3 linked regions of the Pelodiscus sinensis genome follow. The protein of the gene in region 3 purifies or fractionates together with the protein of the main gene of each other region. This does not show direct contact. Links are inferred from orthologs where the notes say so. Each region holds a gene or a part of one and is shown on either strand. Other genes may lie near its edges.

What was found.
Region 1: the proteins of PLD2 (region 3) and DNAJA2 purify together in Homo sapiens (affinity purification with mass spectrometry; 3 studies listed by BioGRID and IntAct, with this or other methods). This does not show direct contact. The link is inferred for Pelodiscus sinensis from reciprocal best matches to the Homo sapiens genes PLD2 and DNAJA2.
Region 2: the proteins of PLD2 (region 3) and DNAJC7 purify together in Homo sapiens (affinity purification with mass spectrometry; 3 studies listed by BioGRID and IntAct, counting the BioPlex papers as one, with this or other methods). This does not show direct contact. The link is inferred for Pelodiscus sinensis from reciprocal best matches to the Homo sapiens genes PLD2 and DNAJC7.

What each region holds. Positions count from the first base shown.
Region 1 is NC_134722.1:27,730,873-27,738,939, forward strand, and holds the start of DNAJA2 (dnaJ homolog subfamily A member 2), read right to left. Parts: upstream 3,015-8,067; 5' UTR 2,882-3,014; coding exon 2,804-2,881; intron 1-2,803. UniProt on the Homo sapiens protein: Co-chaperone of Hsc70. Stimulates ATP hydrolysis and the folding of unfolded proteins mediated by HSPA1A/B (in vitro).
Region 2 is NC_134739.1:9,682,653-9,690,510, forward strand, and holds the start of DNAJC7 (dnaJ homolog subfamily C member 7), read left to right. Parts: upstream 1-4,817; 5' UTR 4,818-4,888; coding exon 4,889-4,971; intron 4,972-7,858. UniProt on the Homo sapiens protein: Acts as a co-chaperone regulating the molecular chaperones HSP70 and HSP90 in folding of steroid receptors, such as the glucocorticoid receptor and the progesterone receptor.
Region 3 is NC_134734.1:8,309,121-8,316,408, forward strand, and holds the start of PLD2 (phospholipase D2), read left to right. Parts: upstream 1-4,299; 5' UTR 4,300-4,377; coding exon 4,378-4,416; intron 4,417-6,048; exon of another isoform or gene 6,049-6,186; intron 6,187-6,438; exon of another isoform or gene 6,439-6,566; intron 6,567-7,288. Other genes in the region: PSMB6 (proteasome subunit beta type-6), read left to right, coding at 1,776-1,907, 2,054-2,183, 2,755-2,899, 4,172-4,299.

The sequences.
Region 1 (8,067 bases), on a different chromosome or scaffold from region 3:
GCCAGACCAATGGTCCATCTAGCCCGGTAGCCTGACTGCTTATAGTGGTCAATACCAGATGCCCCAGAGGGAGGGACCACAACAGCTAAACCTTACATGATCCCTCTCCGTCATCCATTTCCAGACAAACAATAGGCTAGGGACACCTTTCCTACCCATCCTGGCTAATAGCCATTGATGGATTTAACCTCCATGAACTTACCTAGTTCTTTTTTGAACCCTGTTAAAGTCCTAGCCATCACTACATCCTCTGGCAAGGAGTTCCAGAGGTTGACTATGCCCTGAGTGGGAAAAAAAAACCTTCCTTTTGTTTGTTTAAACCTGTTCCCTATTAATTTCATGTGGTGACCCCCTACTTCTTATATTGTGGGAATAAGTAAATAACTTTTCCTTATTCACTTTTTCCATACCAGTCATGATTTTATAGACCTCGATCATACTCTCCCACCCTTAGTCTTCTCTTTTCTAAGCTGAAAAGCCCAAGTCTTTTTAACCTCTCTTCATATGGGACCTGTTCCAAACCCCTAATCATTTTTGTTAGCCATTTCTGAACCTTTTCCAATGCCAATATATCTTTTTTGAGATGAGGCAATCACATCTGTATGCAGTATTCAAGTGGTAGGCATACCCTGGGTTTATATAGAGGCAATATGATATCCTTTGTCTTATTCTCTATCCCTTTCTAAATGACTCCTAACATTGTTTGCTTTTTTTTGACTGCTGCTATACATTGAGTAGATGTTTTCAGAGAATTATCCACAATGACTCCAAGATATCTCTCTTGAGTAGTTGTAGCCAAATTAACCCCCATCAAATTTTTATGCATAGACAGGATAATTTTTTCTAATGTGCATTACTTCGCATTTATCAACATTAAAATTAATTTCCCATTTTGTTGTCCTATCACTTAGTCTGGTGACGTCTTTTTGAATCTTTTCACAGTCTGCTTTGGTCTTAAATATCTTGAGCAGTTTGGTATTATCTACAAATTTTGCCACCTCACTGTTTACCCCTTTCTCTTAAAACCCCCCCCCACAAAAACAAACAAAACAAAAAAACACCTTAAAAAGCAATGAATAGCCTTTAAGATGCTATTAGACTAACAAAACATAACTTACTAACAAGTGGATGATGCCCATGAAAGCTCATGATACCATCAACATGTTTTGTTAGTCTTTAAGGTGCTACTAGACTATTTTTTTTAAGTTTTTCTACTTACAGACTAACTTGACTACCCCTCTGAACCCTTTCTCTAGATCATTTATAAATACATTGAATAGGATTGGTCCCAGGACAGACCCTTGGGGACACCACTAGTTCTCTCTCTCCACACTGAAAACTTACCATTTATTCCTATCTTTTGTTTCCTGTCTTTTAACCAGTTATCAATCCATGAAAGGACCTTCCCTCATATCCCTTGACAACTTACTTTGCTTAAGAGCATTTAGTGAGGGATCTTGTCAAAGGCTTTCTGGAAATCTAAGTACACTATATCCACTGGATCCCCCTTGTTCACATGCTCGTTGACTCCCTCAAAGAACTCTAGCAGATTAGTAAGGCATGATTTTTCTTTACAGAAACCATGTTGACTTTTCCCCAACAAATTATGTTCAGCTACGTGTCTGATAATTTTATTCTGTATTATAGTTTCAACTAATTTGCTTGGTACTGACATTAGAATTACACGTTCTCAGTATTTAGACACCCAGTTAGGTCCAAATTAATTAACGAGAGATTACGTGCTTGGCACTGAGAGATAGCTGGCAACTTTACCATTAACTATTTAAGTATACTTTGGACTATGTACTTGTTTTGTTTTATAGGTATTAAACAATTGCGTTTCCAAGACCACCATTCATACAACAAACAAGATGCCCCAAACAAGGTTTCTTTCTGTAGACAGTATGATCATACTTGGCTGCCATCATTTCATAGCTTCCTTTTATCAACACGTATTGGACATATAGTTTCATAACAATTAATGCCCACCCCAAACAAATTTGGCTATCACGTGCAGATACCTAGTTCACTGCAGCAGCACCACCATTATTCCAAGGGATCACAGGCGGTGACCAGTAAATACCTAACCAAGGCTATGATGTACTTTTAAGTGCTAGGTGATGCAGTTGGGAAGTGGGTAAGGAGTGGCTGGCATACTAGAAGATTAATACAACCAATACACGTTTAGAGGTCAGTGATGGGTATAGGGTAATGAGGATCCCAAAACACTGGGCTCTAATGCTCAGCTTCCTTGTTTATTTTCCCTAGGTGCTTTCAGCTTGGGAAAGACCAGCTCCACAGGGACGGGCCGGGGAGACCCAAAGGGGGCCCATGCTGCTGCAGTCAGACAATGGCAGTGGCTGGAACGCCACTTTCAGCAGGTTTCAGGGCTGAAGCCTCCAATCGCGATGGGATCGGCCCCCAGGGCACCACGGAGAGCAGGCGACGCTCCCTCAGCGCACGGGGCACGCAGTGAGGAGACACGCGCAGGCGGCTCCGGGCAGGGAACCCGGTCGACCCCCTCACGTTAGGCGGAGACCCCCCCCCCCCAGCGCCCGGCCAGGATCCCCTCCCCCACCCGCGGCCCCGCTCCCTCCAGCGCCTCCCCGCGGCCTACTCGCCTTCCCCGGCGCCGGCCAGGCAGGCCCCAAGCGGCTTCGCGGCGCGGCCTCGCCTGGAAGCCGCTTGGGGCCTTCCGCTCGGCCTGACCCCCGCCAGCCCGGCCCGGGGCCTCCCCGCCTCATCGTGACCTCCCGGCTGCCCAAGCGGGGCCTGCCCGGCGCGGCGCCTCCCCGGCCGGTACCTTCTTCAGCTCGTTGTCGGAGGCCCCGGGCGGCACCCCCAGGATGTCGTAGAGCTTGGTGTCGGCCACGTTCGCCATGGCGCAGGGACGGGGCGGGCTGGCGGCGCGCGCGGGACAGGCCGAGGGGGCAGCGGGGCCGGCAGCGAGGACGAGACCGGGACCAGAATGAGAGAGGCCGCCGCGGCGTCACCCACGCACGCGCGACGTCACCGCGCCGCCCGACGCCACCATTCGCCTTCTGCGGCAGAGCCCCGCCCCTGCGTGTCCTTCGGGCGCACGCCCCCCGAGCGGGGAGGGGCGCCGGCCGCCCGAGGCCACGCCCCCTCCCCGCGTTGGCCCTGGGCCCGGCTCGCGGAGCAAAGTTGGGGGAGGGCGGTGCTCTGCCTCGCTGCTGCACTTCCCTCCCTTGCTTTGCACAGAACAGGTCGGGCCAAAGGTCCACCTAGCCCAGTAGCCTGCCTGTCAGCAGTGGCCAATGCCAGGTGCCCCAGAGGGAGTGAACAGAACAGCAAAATACAGGACTATGTAGCACTTTAAAGACTAACAAGATGGTTTATTAGATGATGAGCTTTCGTGGGCCAGACCCACTTCCTCAGATCAAATAGTGGAAGAAAATAGTCACAACCATATATACCAAAGGATACAATAAAAAAAATGAACAAATATGAAAAGGACAAATCACATTGCAGAACAGAAGGGGGATGCAGGGGGGTGGGGGTGGGAAGGGGGAGGAAGGAAGGTAAGTGTCTGTGAATTGCTGATATTAAAGGTAGGGAGAGTGGGATGTTTGTGAGTTAATGGTATTACAGGTGATAATTGGGGAAACTGTCTTGGTAATGGGTGAGAAAGTTCAAAGACTTGTTAAGTCCTTGTTGGCAAGTGTCGAATTTTAACATGAATGACAGTTCAGAGGATTCCCTTTCAAGTGCAGATGTAAAAGGTCTTTGTAGCAGAATGCGGGTGGCTAAGTCATTTAGAGAGTGTCCTTTCTGGTTAAAGTGGCAAGAAACTGTTTTCTCTTTGTGATCTTGTCTGATATCTGTTTTGTGGGCATTAATCCTTTGGCGAAGTGTCTGAGATGTTTGTCCAATGTACATAGCAGACGGACACTTTCGGCACATGAACAGAACAGGTAATGGTCAAGCGATCCCTCTCCTGCCATCCCTTTCCAGCCTCTGACAAACACAGGTTAGGGGGGCACCACTCCGGCCCACCCTGGCTAATAGCCATTAGTGAACCTAACTTCCATGAATTTATCTAGCTCTTTTTTTTAACCCTCTTAAAGTCCTGGTCTTCACAACATCCTCAGGCAAGGAGTTCCACAGGTTGACTGTACACTCTGTGAAGAGAAACTTCCTTTTTTTTTTTTGTTTTAAACCTGCTGCCTATTAATTTCATTTGGTGACCTTTAGTTCTTATGGGAACCAGTAAATAACTTTTCCTTATTCACTTTGTCCATATCTGTCATGATTTTGTAAACCCATAGTCTCCTTTTTTCTCTACTGAAAAGCCCCAGTCTTTTTAATCTCTCTGTATATGGCATCCATTCCAAGCCCCTAAAATTTTTTTGCCCTTTTCTGAACCTGTTCCAATGCCAATATAGCTTGCTTTTTTTGAGATGAGACGATCACATTTGTATACAGTATTCAAGATGTGGGCACACCATGGATTTTTAAGGCAATAAGATATTTTCTGTCCCTTTTAAAGTTATTCCTAACATTCTCTTTGCTTTTTTGCCGGCTGCTGCACATCGAGTGGATGTTTTCCAGGCCTGTACGCAGGGTGTGTGCAAAAGGTGCAAAAGCACTCTCCTATGCTCCCCCAAGTAAGCATGATCCAGCTATTCATGGAAAGGGAGTGGCATGCTACCTGAGCCTCCTTCCCCCATGCTCTGGCTGGCTGGGGGAAGGCTGGGGCTGATTTCCCTGCTTACTTGGGAAACCATGGGAGGGGGGTGTATTTAAACTCTTGCAGTCCACATTTACAAAAAAATCACCCCCACACAAATTCCTGTGTACAGGCCTGTTTTCAGAGAACTATCCACAGTGACTCTAAGATCTCTCTCTTGAGTGGTAATAGTGATAGAAATGTAGCCGTGTTAGTCTGATTTAGCTGAAACAAAAAACAGGACTATGTAGCACTTTAAAGACTAACAAGATGAGGTGATGAGCTTTCTTGGGCCAGACCCACTTCCTCAGATCAAATAGTGGAAGAAAATTGTCACAACCATATATACCAAAGGATACAATTAAAAAAATGAACACATCTGAACATATTTCCTTTTCATATGTGTTCATTTTTTAATTGTGTCCTTTGATATATATGGTTGTGACAATTTTCTTCCACTATTTGATCTGAGGAAGTGGGTCTGGCCCACGAAAGCTCATCACCTAATAAACCATCTTGTTAGTCTTTAAAGTGCTACATAGTCCTGTTTTTTGTTTGAGTGGTAATAGCTAAATTAGTCCCCATCATTTTGTATGTATAGTTGGGATTATTTTTTTCCAATGTGCATTACTTTGCATTTAACAACATTAAAATTCATTTGCCATTTTTTTCCCCTAGGGACTGTTTTAGTTGAAAATGCATTTCTCAAGCTTTTCCCTTTCTATACAACATTACCCATATTCACCCAGCCCCGTTTGCTTCCTTCCACAGCTTCAGAAGCTTTATTTGAGTTTCCCCTGAGATTTGTTTTGATTTACCTCTGCCCCACATAGGCTGGGTGTCCTCTCACAATAAATAACCAGCCTGAAAATTGCTGAGTCATGGAGCAGAGGTTCTAGGAAACTCTCTGTAATGTTAAAAAACGAAACTAATATCACTTCTGCTTTTTTTAAAAAAAATCTTCATTATAGTTAGGTTGTGTTCGTGCAGTTTGTGTCTTGATCATGCATTTTAAAGGAAGGGGTCACTTGTTAGGCTTTTAGTAAGTTGAACGCTATACAGTAGTTACTGTGTTATGTGTGAATAAGTGGTAAACAATGCCTGCTATTCTCGGGACTTTTCTGAGTTAACTAGCTTATTCTGGCACATGAAACACAATTTAGAATGGGGTTTAATCATGATATTTGAAACCAGATCTGAGCTTTTCCAGAGTAAAGAGGGTTTGGATAGGATGTTGATACACATGCATTTTACAAAGATAGGTCAGTCTCTCCTGCATTGTGGTCCAAATTTCTCCAAAATACAAGAAGCGTATGCATCACTACATACATATTATAAATAATTATATTGGATTATTATTATTTGGACCAGTGGATTTAATTTTTTTGGCTCTAAGATGTACTTACTGCTTTAGAAACATCTTGCTAATATTTTGGTAATTACAATAACACATTTGTTTTGGCACCTTGTGGAAACATTAGGCATTATGTGAGGCTGCACTGGCCCATAGGGGCACAGAGTAATCTCCTGTGTGGTTCTTGGCCCAAGCCAGCCAGATCTTTATATATATATATATATATATATATATATATATATATATATATATATATATATATATATATATAAAGGTTTAGGAGGAGATCCTGGTTGTATTTAATAATAAGAGACTTCTCTCTTTAAATCTTGCATAAAGAGCAGCCTCTCACCCTTCTGCCCAGGTGAACCCCTTTAACTATTAACAAATATAGTATCATAAGCTTTTGTGGGCAAAATCCACTTCCTCAGATGAGATGAGAGGAAATCTCTAAGGTGCCTTAGGACTACTCATTGTTTTTAAAGTTACAGACTAACACAGCTACCTGTCTGAGCTCTTTGCCTACATGTGCCTCATTAAAGTGCTCTAGAATGCAGTATACATAGTTTCAGGATAGGGAGGCAATTGTCTTCATGCATTTATGCAGAAAGAATAAATCTTCCCCACTCTGTTGCTGTCCAAGTACTTCTGAGCCTTGTGAAGAATGATCTACCTGCTATAGGTGAGTCATGGTAGCACTCAGAAGATGCACTGCCCTCCTATGCCGACATTTTAATTGCTAAATGGGATGCACCTCTGCCCAGCCCTTCCTGTACCCCTTCCTGTTGCAGGCACCAGTCACCCCTGCCATTAGCCCTTCTCTTGCTCAAGATTTGGGGGAAGAGAGTTGGTTAAAACTTGGAGTTCAACCAGTGTGAAACCTGAGGTGAAAATGTTCCCACTGATACTGCCTGTACTGCCTGGAAAGATCACACAGTGACAGATACTTGAAAGTGAGGCTGATGGTAGCTTTGGTGAGGGGGACAAAAAGTAAAGAGAGGCCTGTTAATGCACATTTGAAAGAGACATGCTTCTGCCTAAAGGTATTTCCCTTCTCCACCTGTATGTCAGCCCACCATTCTGCAGACTATGCATTTTCTTTCCTGAGAGACCCTTGTTGCCTCAATCCAGTGCCGCATTATGCTATGTATAACCAAAAATGTTAAACTACCACATAACCCACCAGAAAATACATAAAGTAAGAAAATAATGTTGAAAGATGAAAGTGTTCTGAGCCTGCTTTGAAATAGAGTAAAGAATCAACAGCCAGGATGAGTTAGGTTTTACCAAACCGAGATAATATAAGCAAAGGTCAAATACTGAGAAATAGAAAAGAAGGATTTCCTTCTCTGGCATTATTGCCAGCATCTATCCATCCAGTATCTAGGTAAAATATAAGCCATGAAAATATACCCCTTATATTTACCCCTTTTTTTGGTTCTGTTTCTATCCATCCCTTCTGTCATCATGTTCCTTCCATCTTCTCCTTCTCAACCACCCCGACAAATTGATAGTAAACAAAAGTAATAATGTACTGGAAGGGAATTGCATTTAAAACTTCAGCAGCTGCTACATCAAGTAGCTGAGGAATTAGTATTATCTTTAAAAGAAATAATATAGTCTTTATTACTACCAAATATGTTGTTTTCTCTAGGTTGTTTATTACTACCAATTTTTTAAGTTTTTCCAGTTACAGACTAATTCAGCTACCCCTCTGAAGCTTTCAAATATATTGTGTATAGCAAGATTTAGTTAAAGTGAATGATACAATTCAAATCTCTTTCAGCTGTTATTTTGGGCTGCCTGCAGACTATAGGTAGATGCACTTTTTTAAATTAAAGATGAGATTCCCATTTCATCATGTGACTCCAGAAGCTACTTATGCCTTAATCTGACCTTGGTTAGTACCCAGATGATCTTGCCTGGATTTCTGTCTGAGCCCATTGACTGGGAAGAACTTTGTGAATGTAGAGTGTATGATGTGAAGGCTCAAGTGCTATGAACACGATGATCTATAAGAATC
Region 2 (7,858 bases), on a different chromosome or scaffold from region 3:
GGCAGAGGGAAAATCAACTGTGCAGGTCTGCCACTGGACTAAGGAGATGGGGGTTCACTTCCCAGCTGTGCCACAGGCTCCCTGGGTGGCCATGGGCAAGTCTCTTCACCTTGCAGTACTTCCGTTCCCCATCTCCCAAAGAGGGACCAATCTCTCCTGCCTCCATGAATAGTTTTGGGGCTCAGTTTCCACTGGGCTAGGAAATGATTCACTAGGTTTTTTCTATCTCATAAGCCCCCCTTTCCACACACACACTGGCTACGTCTACACTGGCATGATTTTCCGGGAAAAGTTTTCCGTTAAAAGCATTTTCGGAAAAGCACGTCTAGATTGGCAGGATGCTTTTCCGTAAAAGCACTTTTTGCGGAAAAGCGTCCGTGGCCAATCAAGACGCGGTTTTCCACAAAAAAGCCCCGATCGCCATTTTCGTGATCGGGGCTTTTTTGCGGACAACAATACTATGCTGACTACACTGGCCCTTTTGCACAAAAGTCTTTCGGAAAAAGACTTTTGCCCGAACAGGAGCAGCATAGCATTTCCGGAAAAGCACTGACGATCTTACAGAAGATCGTCAGTGCTTTTCCGGAAATTCAAATGGCTAGTGTAGACAGCTGGCAAGACAGATGATTTTGCGGAAAAACTTGCCAGTCTAGACACAGCCACTGTGATCCACGCTGGGGAGCACTGATGGCATATCCTGCATTCCCCCTATTCTACACCCCCCCCCCCCTTCTGTGCAAATGCATGCTCCTTGAGATTTCGGCTCAGGAACAAACCAACGAAGGTGCTGGAAGTAGGGGGGTTGCAATCGCTGCAAGGCAGGGGAGTGGGGCAGCACAGGGCTAGACTGGTCCAGGCCCTGATCCTCACTGCAGCCTGGGCATGCTAATGAGCCCAGCTGTCAGGCTGGACTCCCAGAGGCAGCTGGCTCTTGTGTGGAGCCTCTAAGCATCTATGTATCATGTATCTCCCTCTTTGCCCCCATCCAGATGGCACAGTAAATCTCTGAGGAGGGAGGCCTCTACCTACCTTCTCAGGACAGCTGTCTGTCTCTGCTTTCCTCTTCCGAAAACTGCAGGCTTAACTGACTCACATCCCGACCAATGAAGGGGCAATCAGGGAGACAGCAAGAGGGAGCAAAGGAGAGGAGAGAGAGCCTGCTAACCACAGGACAGCACCACCTAGAGCTGCAGAAAACAGGCTGTGCAATGCTTGCTTTTTCAGGAGAGGCCGACCAGGCTGGCTCAGTACCCTGCAAAAAACACACCAGAGCTGCAAAAACAACGAGGAGTCCTGTGGCACGTTAGAGACAAACAGATGTATTAGGGCATAAACTTTTGTGGGTTAAAAGCACTTCATCAGATGAGTTGAAGTGGAGTTTACAGAGGCGGGGATGTGTGTGTGTATATATATATATATATATATATATATACACACACATGGATAACAAAAAGAAAGGATAAACTTAAAAAACAACAAATAGTCTGGTAGCACTTTAAAGACTAACAAAACATGTAGATGTATCATGAGCTCTTGTGGGCTCAACCCACTTCTTCAGCAGTCATCTGAAGAAGTGGGCTGTGTCTATGAAAGTTCATGATACATCTATGTTTTGTTAGTCTTTAAAGTGCTACCAGACCATTTGTTGATTTTTAAGTTTATCCTGTATAGACTAACTCAGCTACCCCTCTGAAGCAAAAGAAAAAGGGTCAATCATCTAATGAAGTGGGTTCTACTGACGAAAGCATATGCCCTAATCAACTTGTTAGTCTCTAAGGTGCCACAGGAATCCTCATTTTTTAAGATACTGACTAACAGGGCCACCAGTCTGAGACTTTAAACCAAACCTGTTATCTAACTCCAGATTCACACCAATGGCTCATCCGTGGCCCCATGTTCTTTGTAACTTCACAGGGAGGAGACCCTGCAAATTGTTTTGTTCGCATTGAAGATGCAACTGCCCAGCCGAGCTGTAGGAAAGAGATGTTTCTTCTGTGCTTATCTGGTGGCTTCCTGACCCCCAGCTGGGAGGCCAGAAGCCCTCATGTTCCACTCAAGTGGGGCTCTCCTGAAACCTGTCCCCTTCCTCCAGTCCTCCCACGCCCTGGTGCAAATATGACACACACACACAAAAAGGAAATTTAAGGCAACTAATTGCCACTAGAATCACACCTATTTTAAAGCAAAGTGTGCTGGAACAATTTTTATAGTGGGGGTGTTGAGAGCCATTGAACCAAACTGTAAACCAGGGGTCTCAAACTCATTTTACCTTGGAGCCAGTGCCAGTCCTCAAATCCACCTAGTGGGTCAGCAGGCACCCCTCTCTAGCAGGGTTCGGGGGGGAGTCTCCACACATTCACACCCCCCACGTGTCTCCCGGTCCCAGCTGCTAGTCTATGCACTCTTCTCCCATGCATCCCCCGGCACTGTCTGCCATCTCTGGGCAACTTAACCCTCCCCCCCCCCACAGGGGTTCCGGTGCCGCTACCAGTAGCACGGCAAGGCTAGAGCAGCTCCTCGCTGCTAGCGCTGCATCCCTGTGGCCCAGGAGAGATGTGTGCAGAGCCATCCCATCCATAGAACGATTTGATGCGGCCACCCCGGGCCCTGTGCATTGGGGGGAGCGGGGCCCACAGCAGCCACCCCAATCGTCCTATGGACAGAATGGTCCCCCATACTTAGTGATAGAAATGTAGCTGTGTTAGTCTGGTGTAGCTGAAACAAAATACAGGACTATGCAGCACTTTAAAGACTAACAAGATGGTTTATTAGATGATGAGCTTTCGTGGGCCAGACCCACTTCCTCAGATCAAATAGTGGAAGAAAATCATCACAACCATATATACCAGTGTTCATTTTTTTTAATTGTATCCTTTGGTATATATGGTTGTGACGATTTTCTTCCACTATTTGATCTGAGGAAGTGGGTCTGGCCCACGAAAGCTCATCATCTAATAAACCATCTTGTTAGTCTTTAAAGTGCTACATAGTCCTGTATTTTGTTCCCCATACTTAGGTTAGCCTGTGGGGCCTGGGGCAAGCTGGGGCTAGCAGAAGGGTTCAGGCTCCCCCTTTCCCCTCCCCCCACTCGCCACAGCAGGGAGAGCTGCAAGGAAGTGGAGCTACATAGCATGTCTGAAAATATGGAGGGAAAGTTCCCCCCACTCCCACCAGCCTGATCTTCTTTTCTTTGAGATTCCAGATGGTTATGAAGCTAGCTAAGCTTTCCGGCTGCAAATATCCTGAAATCCAGAGTGACGGTTTAACCCCCACCGAGCGTTAAGAATATTTGAGATGACCTTAGCTCAGATCTGGCCATTGGTGTGAGAGAAAGCAAGAAATGGCTTTTAAAAGGCAACATTATGATGATTAATGTTTTTTAATTATACATCAAGCACCTGGAGAAGCTTCAGGCAACCGCTAAAGCAAGTGAAGACACATCTCCTGGCCTAGAGAGTGCACAACCTACATGCAATCCAACACAATCCTGCAAGGAGACCCGCATGGGCTGATCCCTTCTCCTGCATGGATCCCCACTGGAGTTAATGAGACTCTGTGGGGCAGCAGGAGTCCACCTGCACAGGTCTCTTTTGCCGAAGGTCCTAAGTAGGAAATACCACAGACTCAACCTATTTACCATTGTAGGCTGCATGTGCAACTCTCTCCGTGTTATGTGGGTTGCAACTGCATAATAGATATATTACTTGTACAGCCCAGGGGGATGTCACGTGGGCCGTAGTTATGTGCTGATTGGGTTGTGGGTTGAGAACCACTGGCCTAAGGCATAGGCACAGCTAAATGTTTAGGAAGCCAATTATTTTTACATGACTATTATCTGTTGATGTGGTTACGGTGACCGTTGGGTGCCATGTGACAGGGGTTTAGCAGAAAGATGCCTTAGCATGGCAGTTCACTATTTACAACCACATTCTCATAGCCATTTATTATCACCTGTGTGACAATCATACCTAGGCGGGCTCTTTGGGGGATCAGGATGCATTGTGCCGGGTGCTGAACAAACCCCAAGAGCTCATCATGCTGCATTGCCGGGGGGCCCTCATGGCCACTGTCACTTCGCACCCATCGTCGCTCCATGTTGTGCCAATCTCAGGTGCCCTCTATAAGTCACCATCATGGCTCCCTTGCTGCCTCCCAAGCAGGGTCCCCCCCCCCAGCACCTCCCCTCAGGCTGGCCAAGTTTGGGCTCATCCGAGCTGGGCAAGGTGCCTCCCATCACCCCAGGCTGGTCAGTGCTCCCCCCATCCCCCAAGCTGGCCGGGGGGGGCCCATTCCCATCCCCCAAGCTGGTCCAGGGGGCCCCCATTCCCATCCCCCAAGCTGGTCCCCATTCCCATCCCCCAAGCTGGTCCAGGGGGCCCCCATTCCCATCCCCCAAGCTGGTCCAGGGGGCCCCCATTCCCATCCCCCAAGCTGGTCCCCATTCCCATCCCCCAAGCTGGCCAGGGGGCCCCCATTCCCATCCCCCAAGCTGGTCCAGGGGGCCCCCATTCCCATCCCCCAAGCTGGTCCAGGGGGCCCTCATTCCCATCCCCCAAGCGGGCCAGGTCTCCCCGCCCCACGTATTTCTACCCCCTCCCCCGGGCTCCCCCTCACCCTCGGGCTGGCCAGGGTCCGGGTCCCCCATCCCCCAAGCTGGCCAGGCCAACCCCCCGTTCCAGCCTCCCAAGTTGGCCAAGGCTCCCCCCTGGGAGATTGGCCCTTCTGGCCCCTCAAGCGCCCTCTCGGTGGCCCCTCCCGCGGCGGGCCCCTCTTGACGGACCGCGCCGGCCTCTCTTTGCTCCCGGAAGTCGGTGTCGCTTCCGCTTCCCCCCCTCCCCCCGCCGCCGCCTCTCTTTCCCCCTCCCCAGGCTGCCGGCCCGGCTGTAAGATGGCGGCGGCGGCCGAGTGCGATGTGATCATGGCGGCGGCCGAGGGAGCCGGGCTGCTGGGCGGCGAGGAGGAGACTCGCAGGTAGCGGGGCGCCGGGGGGGGGGCTCAGGAGAGAGCCGGGGGAGGGACTGAAGGGGGGGTCGGGGCCCCTTGGGGTGGGGGAGGGGAGTGGGGCCCGGTGGGGGGGGGTTCTCAGCCCCAGCCCCCCCCCCCTCGCGGCCCTGTGACCCTCCCAGCTCCGGGGTGTCTCAGGGCCCCGGCCCCCTCCCGCACTATGGGGGGGGGGAGGGGGGAGCGCAGCACCAGCCCGCCCCCGCCCCGCTGGCCCCCGAGGTTATCAACCCTCCCTCCGCCTCTTCCTTCTGTTGAAATCCGCCCCCTCGGGCGGGGTGATGGGGGGGTGCCCCTGTGACACCCCCCCCCCACAAGGATGCTCTGTGCAGATGCCGCTCACCCCGGTGATCGTTCAGGAACCCCCCTTTCAAGCTGAGTGGGTGGGGGGTCGGGGGTGAACCTACCAGCTAAAGATGCATTTCTCCCCCCCACCCCGCCATAGCCCGAATGGTTTTTATACCTTGCCATGTCTATAACCCCCTGGGCCTACTGGGGGTTTTATAACGGGTAACTCCCAAGGAATGCCGTCTGGGCATTTCTAGTGCACCCAGCCCTGGCGGCAGTGTCCAGGCTGTAAATCCCTGCACCATAGAGATTACGGTATAATGAACAAGGATGGATGGTTGATCAGTAACCGGGGAGAAGGTTATGGTGGGCTGTTTCACTGGACCAATCTGAAGGCAGATGGCAGCAGATACATGCTTAATACTTACTGTCCTGACTCTGCAGAATTGATTTCAGCCCTGAAGAACAGGGGGGGTTCACAGTGGAGTCAGGGAAGTTCAACAATTCAGTTCCCTTCTGCCCTTTAATAAGTATGCTTGGGCTTGTTTAGTTTGGAAAAAAGAAGATTAAGGGGGGACATGATAGCGGTTTTCAAATATCTAAAAGGGTGTCACAAGGAGGAAGGAGAAAATTTGTTCCTCTTGGTTTCTGAGGACAGGACAAGGAGTAATGGGCTTAAAGTGCAGCAGGGGAGGTTTAGATTGGACATTAGGAAAAAATTCCTAACTGTCAGGGTGGTCAAATATTGGAATAAATTGCCAAGGGAGGTGGTGGAATCTCCCTCTCTGGAGATATTTAAGAACAGGTTAGATAGACATCTGTCAGGGATGGTGTAGATGGAGCTTGGTCCTGCCTTGAGGGCGTGGGGCTGGACTCGATGACCTCTCGAGGTCCCTTCCAGTCCTATTATTCTATGATTCTATGCCAGATTTGGGGAGCATGGCCAACAGCCCCCAGCATGTGATGCTTTGTTTCAGGGTGGTTTGGCTTGTATGTCAGATGCTAAGCTCTGGCCTTTGCCAGACATGCCTCTGTGTTAAAGGCAGGGGTGATTCCAGTTGTGGTCTATTATACAGAAAAGGTGCAGTGGTCTTTTGGCCAAATCTTGTGCCATATAGAAACCCCAGCCTACTGTATAGTGCCCGTGATGGGTGCTATACAAAACACTGATAGGCAGTAATTCTGGGTTTCCGAGAGTTTTGTGTCCTTCTCTCAGGACAGGACTGCTCTGGGGATAGCATGCTCCCGTCTTTATCATTTCTGCCCAGAGGCAGTATCGATTAGCACTGCCATTTTCAAACTGGGGGTCAGGACCCCAAAGTGCTGACTTAGACTGGTTGAGGCCAAAGCAGAAGCTTAAGACCCATTGCCCTGGGGCCAAAGTCCGAGGGTTTCAGCTTTAGGTAGTGGGACTCAGTTTACAGGCCCTCTGCATGGGACTAAAGGCCTTGGGGTTCAGTTTTGGCCTTCCCCATGGGGCAGTGGAGCTTTGTCTCCCTCCTCCCCCAGACCATGGGGCTCAAGCTTCAGTCCCCCTCCTGGGGTTGCATAGTAACTTTTGTTGTCAGAAGGGGGTCACGGTTGTGAAGTTGGAGAATCCCAAGACTAGGGTTAAACTCTGTATGTGGTGTGGAGGGGGAATCCTCATGGCTCAAACCCCTTGAAGGTGGTTCAGATCCTTTTCCCTTCTCTAACTCCATTGCCTGAGGACTTCACAGTTACAATTGCACCTACCTGTACAGAACAGTTACTGTTGGAGATGTCTGATAGCGTGGAGCAAGTTACACTCAGAGTCCTGCTCTCAGATACCTGTCCTGTGTCAAAATGTTCTCTGGGTATGGTGGTTCTCCAAAGTACACTATGTTTTGAAGGCAGGGTTAGTAATTGTTGAAAGACCAAATCAGCTTCGTGCCTAAAGCTAGTTGGGAAATATTGCCCTGTGGTGCAGATACCGTCTGAGGTGTGGTGTGGTGAGAATCCCAGCCCTTTCCTCTGGTAATGAATTCTCTTTACAAGAGCAAGTGCTTTTATCTCCACCTGCTGCTGTGCTGTTGCAGTCACAGCAGGGGATGAAATTTAAAGATCAGCCTTTAAGAAACACCGTGCTAAGTTCAAGTGTTTAAAACAGGCAGGTGAATCTCAGCAGCCGGATGTCTCCGGGGGGGAATACCACCCCATATAGGATGTGGCAGAGCCTGTCATTCTAGAGAGGGGTTCACCTCACTGATGCAGGAAGGCAAAATGAAACTGAAAGGTACCTTGGAGTAGTTCCAGTTTCAAAAGGGCGGCCTGTGATATGTGTACTGCTGCTGCTTAGCTCTCAAAGGGTGAGGCCAAGGCAGTGGCATCGGAAGTATTTGTAACACCTTGAGGGTGTTAATTACATATATAAATCACGTTGTAGAAAAGGCACTTCAATGCTACATAAAGGATCCAAGTGTCACAGAGTTACAGAAATTCTTAGTACTGGGAAAGCCCTACAAAGTTTCATGTAATCCACAGCCTTCCTGTGGCTAATGTAAGGTTGTTCCTTAAAGTATTCTCTCCAGGGCTTTGTTCGCTTTAAAAT
Region 3 (7,288 bases):
TGGATGCTCTCTTGAGCAAGAAAGCTCTGGTGGCCATTTTAGCCATCGGGCTTTCTTGTGCAAGAAATCCCTGGTGAGTGTCCACACTGCCCTCTTGCGCAAGAGCTCCTGTGCAAAGAGGGCTTACACGTGTTAAAAAAGAGCATAGCTCTTGCACAAGGAGCCGTCTCTTCCATGCCATACTGTAAATTTCCTTTCGCAAGAGCAGGCGGGCAGTGTAGACACTCTGCGGATTCTTAGGCAATAACCCGCCAGTGTAGACATAGCCTATGGGTTTTGCTGCAATCACCCATCCTTAAAGGAGGTGTTAATCTTTGACCTTTGATAGTGATTGTCAGGCTTCTCATCGTTCTCTCTCACTCTTGGTGGGGTTTCTACCTGTCTTCAAGGTTGTCCATGCTGCCAATTTAATTCAGTCTCAAGACACAATGCAGGGTTCCTTATTGTCTTCAAAGTTTCCACTTCTTGATCATCTGCGCATCTGTGATGGCTTTCATTCACACGCCTTCTACTCACACCACACAAAGGTGCAGTTTCAGACAAGATCAATAATTACTGAAAGACACAACTTAGTTTGTGATGCAGACAAGGGTTACAACTTAATTTGTAATGCTAACAGGGAGCAAGGCCTTATAGTAACATTATCTACTCATGAGAGACAGAGAGAGAAATAGAAGCAGATAGAACTTATAAGCAAGTCATTATACATCAAATAATCAGGTTTTGACAAATCGGCTTTATCTACTCGCCCATGGGGAGTAGTTTTCAGCCGGTCACCCCGTTCACTGGCGGTTCACGCATGTGCAGTGCTGGTCTCGCACATGCGCAGTGCGGGGCTGGCGAGTGGTTTTTGCTGCAATCGTCGAGCCTGCAAATAATTATACATCATACCTAGTTTTATAATGAGGGCTCGACAAATAATACAGTCTACTTGCCCGTGGCGAATAGATTGTAACCCGGAAGAGCCGGATTCGGGCCGAAAAGTGCAGCTGGTGAGCAGGGCTTGCCACGGTTCGGTGGGCCCTGCTTATAACCGATACTAAAATATACATTTTTGCTACATCCTGAGGGAGGGCAGTGGCTGTGTTTTAGTATGATCCCCCAGGGGAACTTGGGCGGTGGCTGAGTTTTGATAGGGTCTCCTGTGGGGCAGGGCAGACTGTTTACAGGGGCCATGCAAGAGTCCTTTGCAGGCTCTGGATGCTCGCGATGTAAATGGTTATCTGGTTAACCGGTAAGCATCACCCTTAACCTGTGGGGGCTGGAGCAGCTTCCTTCCCACAGCTCCAGCCCCACGGGAGCTGCTTCAGCCCTGTGGGGCCCTCCACGGGTAGGGGCTGCTCCTGCCAGCTGGCCAGAGAACCCCCTGGCCTTTTTGCCTCACAGGTTGCACACTGGCTCCCTGGGAGTGCACCGGTGGCAGAGCCTTCTCCTGGGAAGCTGGACTGGCAGTCCAGGGAGGCTTCATTGCCTATTGCTTCATACTGCAGAGCCTGCAGCATATAATCACTGAGATTTTTAGCAGTTACACGGGTACATTTTAAAAACTTTTTACATTCTTACTGGAGGCTGGTGGTTACGAGGTGTCTAACCGATGGGGCGGTGAGGAAATGACACATCCCTGGCCCAGTGTTATTGTAGGGTTTCCTGAGTGCACTGGGGCCGGATGTGTCGTCTCCGTTGGCACCTGCGTCTCATGGGCAAGTTTGTTATGGTAGAGTGTCAGGGCGGTGGGGCTCTGTAGGGCACTGATCATCTGACTCCACCTTCCACAGCTCCTATGTGGCTAATCGAGTGACGGACAAACTGACGCCCATCCACGATCGGATCTTCTGTTGCCGCTCTGGCTCTGCTGCTGACACGCAGGCCATTGCTGATGCCGTGGCCTATCAGCTGGGCTTTCACAGGTACCTGCCCTGGGCCACATCAGAGCAGGCTCTCCATTCCCTGCCATCTGAGCCAGCCTGTCCCTGTGCAGGGGCTGGGCAGGAGCTGGCACCCCCTAGAAGTCAGTCCCTGGTTCCTCTCTGACTGTGGTTCCCTCCCCCTGCAGCATTGAGCTGGACGAGCCACCCCTGGTGCATACGGCCGCCAGCCTGTTCAAGGAGATGTGTTACCGCTACCGCGAGGACCTCACCGCTGGCATCATCGTTGCTGGCTGGGACAGGCGCAAGGGGGGACAGGTGAGCGGTGTCATCCTAGGGCTCAGCCCAGCAGGTGGAGTTAGGGACATAGCCCTTGGGGGCACGCAGAGTCAGGGTATCTCTAACGAGCACTGTGGGACAGGGAGTGGGGCAAGGGATCACTGGGGGCCTCAGAGGTGACTGCAACTTAGCACTGGATGAAGGGTCCCTGGGTAATCTGCCATCTCACCCCACAGGCAGCTGCATCTCAGCTCTGTGCAAGGGGTCTCTGTAGCCAGCTGCCCCGCCCCACAGGTGGCTGCATCTCAGCACTGGGCAAGGAGTCCCTATTAGGGATTTGAAAGTGACTGTGTATATGGTCACGTGTGGGGAGCTGTCTTAAAAGCCAGCACCTGGTGCACACCAGGTCATGAGGAGCTGTTCTCCTCCCCCCCCCTCCCCCCCACGCATAACCATGTAACCATTGAAACTTTCAGCAGTAACTCGTTTAATTAAATGCATTGTAACATCCCTAGTCCCTGTGTACCTGGCTTCTCAGCATCGGGTGAGGAGGTCCTGTGTAACCAGCCACCCTGTCCCAGCCATGATCTCTCCGTCTTTCTGCCCCAAGGTGTTCTCGGTGCCCATGGGTGGGATGATGGTTCGCCAGCCTTTCTCAGTGGGTGGCTCAGGTAGCTCCTACATCTATGGCTTCGTTGATGCCTCCTACAAGCCGGGCATGAACCAGGAGGAGTGTCTGCGCTTCACAGCCAATGGTGAGTAGACCCTCAGCTTCTCACAGCTAGGGATGTGAATGGGTAACTAGTTACCCAGTAAGCATTACATGTTGCCCAGGAGCAGCCCCTGCCTGCCTTAATGTTTAACTGATTAAATAATTAAACGGGATTTTACCCCTCTATCCTGGGCAGCTGGGACCCAGGCATCCAGGATGGCAGTGTGGGTTGTATGTCCATAGAAGGAGGTGTTACCCGCTCAGATTTCTCTATGCCTTCCACACTGTAGGGATACACACCTTTACCCAGTTCCTAGGGCTCAAAGTGCAACCCTGTTAATTTACACACTCACCCGTACCCAATTCCTAAGGCTCAGGGCACATCTTTCTGCGGGTTAGGCAGGATCTTTAGCCACTGAAAGAGCCTCACACAGTAATATCCGTATCCTCTATTTATTGACAATTCCCAAACAAGCAGAATACACATGCTAAGCACACAGTGTCATGCTCACCAATCCTGGTACAGGCAGACTTCCCCTGTTGGCCAGGGAAGGGGAAGATCTCTCTAGATCTTAGCTGCTGCAGTCACAGTCTGGTCTTAGGCTGTGTCTCGGAGGTGATTTTTTTCTTCTAGGTCTTCCCCCTTCTTCTTGGTGTTTCTTGTCTGCTTTTGGTCTTCCAGCCTTTTGCTTCTTTCCTTCTGCTTCTGTTACTTTCTATCTTCTTCTTGGTCTCCTTCTTGGACCTGAGTTTATATAATGAAACCTGAGTCCTGCTTAGCTATACCGTAACCAATTATTTTAGTATAATTTTACTAACCAATCATACCCCACCACCTTAATTGATTTACACCTAGCAAAATTAATTATACAGCAGACAGGAACAGTTAAACCAGACAGATCTCTCAGTCAAACAATAGGAAAGTGTAATGACAATGATCATAGAATGAGGATTCCACAACATTCTCTATTGATAAGTAACACCATTCTGTCTGGCAAGAAACTGTTTAAGTTTTCTTTACCCATCTTGAGATCTGTTTCTTTATCTGGTAACAGTGGAGGAGCTATCAGGACAAAATCCCCTCCTCACAGATTGGTGTGATGCTATTTGAATACAATTTAGATGGAATGTGAGGATGTGACTTGAGGCCTTACAGCTAATGGCTACTGCTCTTCAGTCTGGCTGCAGAAGGTGGATTTGGTTCAGGCCTTCCAACATGGCTACAGAAAAGCCATATTGTTACAGAGGGGTTGGCCCAAGGCATCTATGCTGTGCTTATCCCCCCCCCGTATGCTCTCCTCTTCTCCCCTTGCAGCCCTAGCACTGGCCATGGACCGGGATGGCTCGAGTGGGGGGGTGATCCGGCTGGCTGCCATCACAGAACAGGGCGTGGAACGGCAAGTCATCCTGGGAAACCAGCTGCCACGCTTCTCTGCTGCTTGACGGAGGACACCCTACACACCCTGTGCCACTGACTTATTAAACTATGGAACCCATGATGTGCCTCAATGATTCCACAGGATGCCTGGGTTCCCTGCCCAGCTTGGGGGAGGGGAGCCTGTAAGCCAGGACTCCTGGATTCTTTCCTTGTCTGTGGAGGGGAGCGGGGAGGCCTGGACTCGGATTAACCTGGTGCTGATATGCAGCCACTGCGGGGGTTAGAATGTGCCTATTCTCTGCCCTGCAGATCCAGGGGCTGGTCTTCTGCCGGGACTAAGTTGTGCAAAGGGGCCAGGCTGGGGTGGGGGCTGTTTACAACTGGCACCACTCAATCTTGCCCACCAGCCTCAGCCCCTACATGAGACCTGATGGAGCACATCTGGTGCCCTTCAATGCTGATACACAGCCCCTGCTACCCCAGTCATAGGCTCCCCCAGCTGTGCTGCTGACCCTCACTCCTGCCCTACAGCCCTTGCCAGCCTAGGAGTGACACTGGTGGGAGAAGTTTCTAGTTGTTGGGCTGTGGCATAGGGTGGGCATTTGGGGGCCACTCTGGCTCAGAGCCAGTGTCCCCCCAGCCCAGGTTCCTACACCAAAACCTCACCTGGCTCTGAATCTTCTTAATGGAAATGGATGTGGGGGGGGAATTAACACATCCTGCCTCCCACTGCTTACCGCAACCCCCTCCAACCCCATGTCCAACCATAAGGGGCCCTCTTGGGTGAGAGCTCTTTGCAGGGTTGAGAGTTTAGCCCAAAGGGCAGGGGAATCTGGGATGCTGGCTTAGGGCCTTTCTGTGAGTCCTAGTCTTTGTGCTGTCAGCAGGGCTGGTTGGTGCTGGGGGTCCCTGTTTCCATGCCAGCAGCTGGAATCCCTGACCATGAGGTTGCCCCAGTCATCAGCACATGAAGTCGATGGCCATGGGGCTGCCCCAGTCAGCATGTGGATTTTCTGGCCATGGGGAGCTGGAGCCAGGAGACTGGCTGGCACTGTGGGGCTGCCTCAGTCATTAGCACGTGGAGTTGATGGCCGCAGGAGGCTGGGGCCATGGGGCTGCCCTCATCAGCACATGGAGTCAATGGCTGTGATGGCACAGCTCAGCTGGTGGTAGGAGACTCATGCGTTCTGGCTGGGGCATCCAGCTTGCTACAGGTGGAGGGTGTGGAATGGGCTTGGGGGGCAGGTCCCCCCTCTATGGGATGACCAGGGGTTGCTGGAGGACAGGAAAGGGAAAAGGTTGGGTATCTTGGAGCAGGACAGTGGCTTGCTTGCAGGGGAAAGAGGGCATGGGAGTGGGATGCAGGGTGGGGGGGGGGGTCTGGGAAGGGGGCTTCTGGAGTAAGGGATGAATGGGTGGGGGGAGGATGAGAGATACTCACCTGTGGGCTGAGGGCCCCTTTGCTATGCCCAGCCCAGCAGAAGCACCGCAGGAGCCTCAACCCCATCTGCCCAGTGGCTTGTGGGGCAGAGCAGGGGCTCTGGCAGGGTCTGTGGTGGGGGTCTTTGCCCCCCAACTCATGGGGGTTGCAGCTGCAACCTCCTTCCCTCAGAACTCTCACAATCTGTGCAGGGGCCCTCAGACCCAGCCCCCCTCCCAGCATCACCCCAATGGCTCCCCTGTGCCCCATCCCTGGGCAGGGAACCTGGCACCTCCATTGCCCTGCCATTCCTTTCCTCTGTCCCCCAAAGCTACTTAATTCCTTACTTCCTACCCCAATCCGGGCCACTCAGTCCCTTGTCCACCCCCCTTACCTGCAGATCTCTGGATGCCTGGGTCCCGCCTAGCCTTCCCTGCTCTCAGCTATGGAGCTGGGTGCAGCTGGCTCTGGGGCGTGTCTGCCAGGCACTGCCTGCTGGCAGCTTCCCAGCCTCCCCAGAGGTACGGGGCTGGACTGGCAGGGGCTGCGGGTTGGGAGTGCGGGGCCCTGGCAGGGCTGGGGGAGCCAGGGGCTGCCGGGAGACGCACCCCAGAGCCGGGCCGGGCCTGACCTCCCAGCCCATGGCTCTGTCCTGATCCCCAGTAGAGTCTGGGGAGCGCTCAGGACAGCAGCAGTATTTGTTATTGTAGGGTCTCCCCGAGCAACGCCCCCACCATCCCACAGGGACCCAGCCTGTGGGGCGGAGTGTGCCCTGCTTGGGATAGGGCGGAGGCTGCTCTGTCCCGGGACTGGCTCCAGCCCCCTCCCCCACTTCCCTTCCCGGGCAGCGCCGCCGCCTCCCGCCCAGCCCGGCGCGCCGCAGGGAATCGGGGCCGGGCGGGGACGCCCCGGGTAAGTGTCCGGGATCCCCGTGCGGGGGAGTCTCTGGAAACTCCCTTCCCCGCCTTGCAGGGGTCTCCGGCCTCCTGAACCCCGCGGTGGGGGGACTGGACCTGCTCTCCGCCCATAACAAGGGCAGGCTCCAGTTGGTTCGTGGGAGGGGTCTCGGTTCTCCCCTGCCCCTTCCAGACAGGGACCCCCCTGCGTGCAGCCACGTTGGAGGCGGCGGGGGGAGCTCTGACGGTCCGCTGCCCCCCCCCCCCATCTCGCTGCCCCACGTGACTCGTAGCGGACTCCAAATCTCCGTGAACTTCTAGCACTTTTGTGACGGGGGCGGGAGCGAGGGGCGCCGGCAGGGCTGTGGGTGGGAGCGAGGGGCGCCGGCAGGGCTGTGTGTGGGAGCGAGGGGCTGTGGGGATGCGAGGCCCGGGGGCGGGAGCGAGGGGCGCCGGCGGGGCTGTGTGTGGGAGCGAGGGGCTGTGGGGATGCGAGGCCCGGGGGCGGGAGCGAGGGGCGCCGGCGGGGCTGTGGGTGGGAGCGAGGGGCTGTGGGGATGCGAGGCCCGGGGGCGGGAGCGAGGGGCGCCGGCGGGGCTGTGGGTGGGAGCGAGGGGCTGTGGGGATGCGAGGCCCGGGGGCTCTCTGCCAGCGCCACCCTTCCCAGGCTTAGAGGAAAGGAACGTTGTATAACTCCCCAGCCCCGCCTGCCCAAACCTGCAAGCTCAGGCGCCGCTC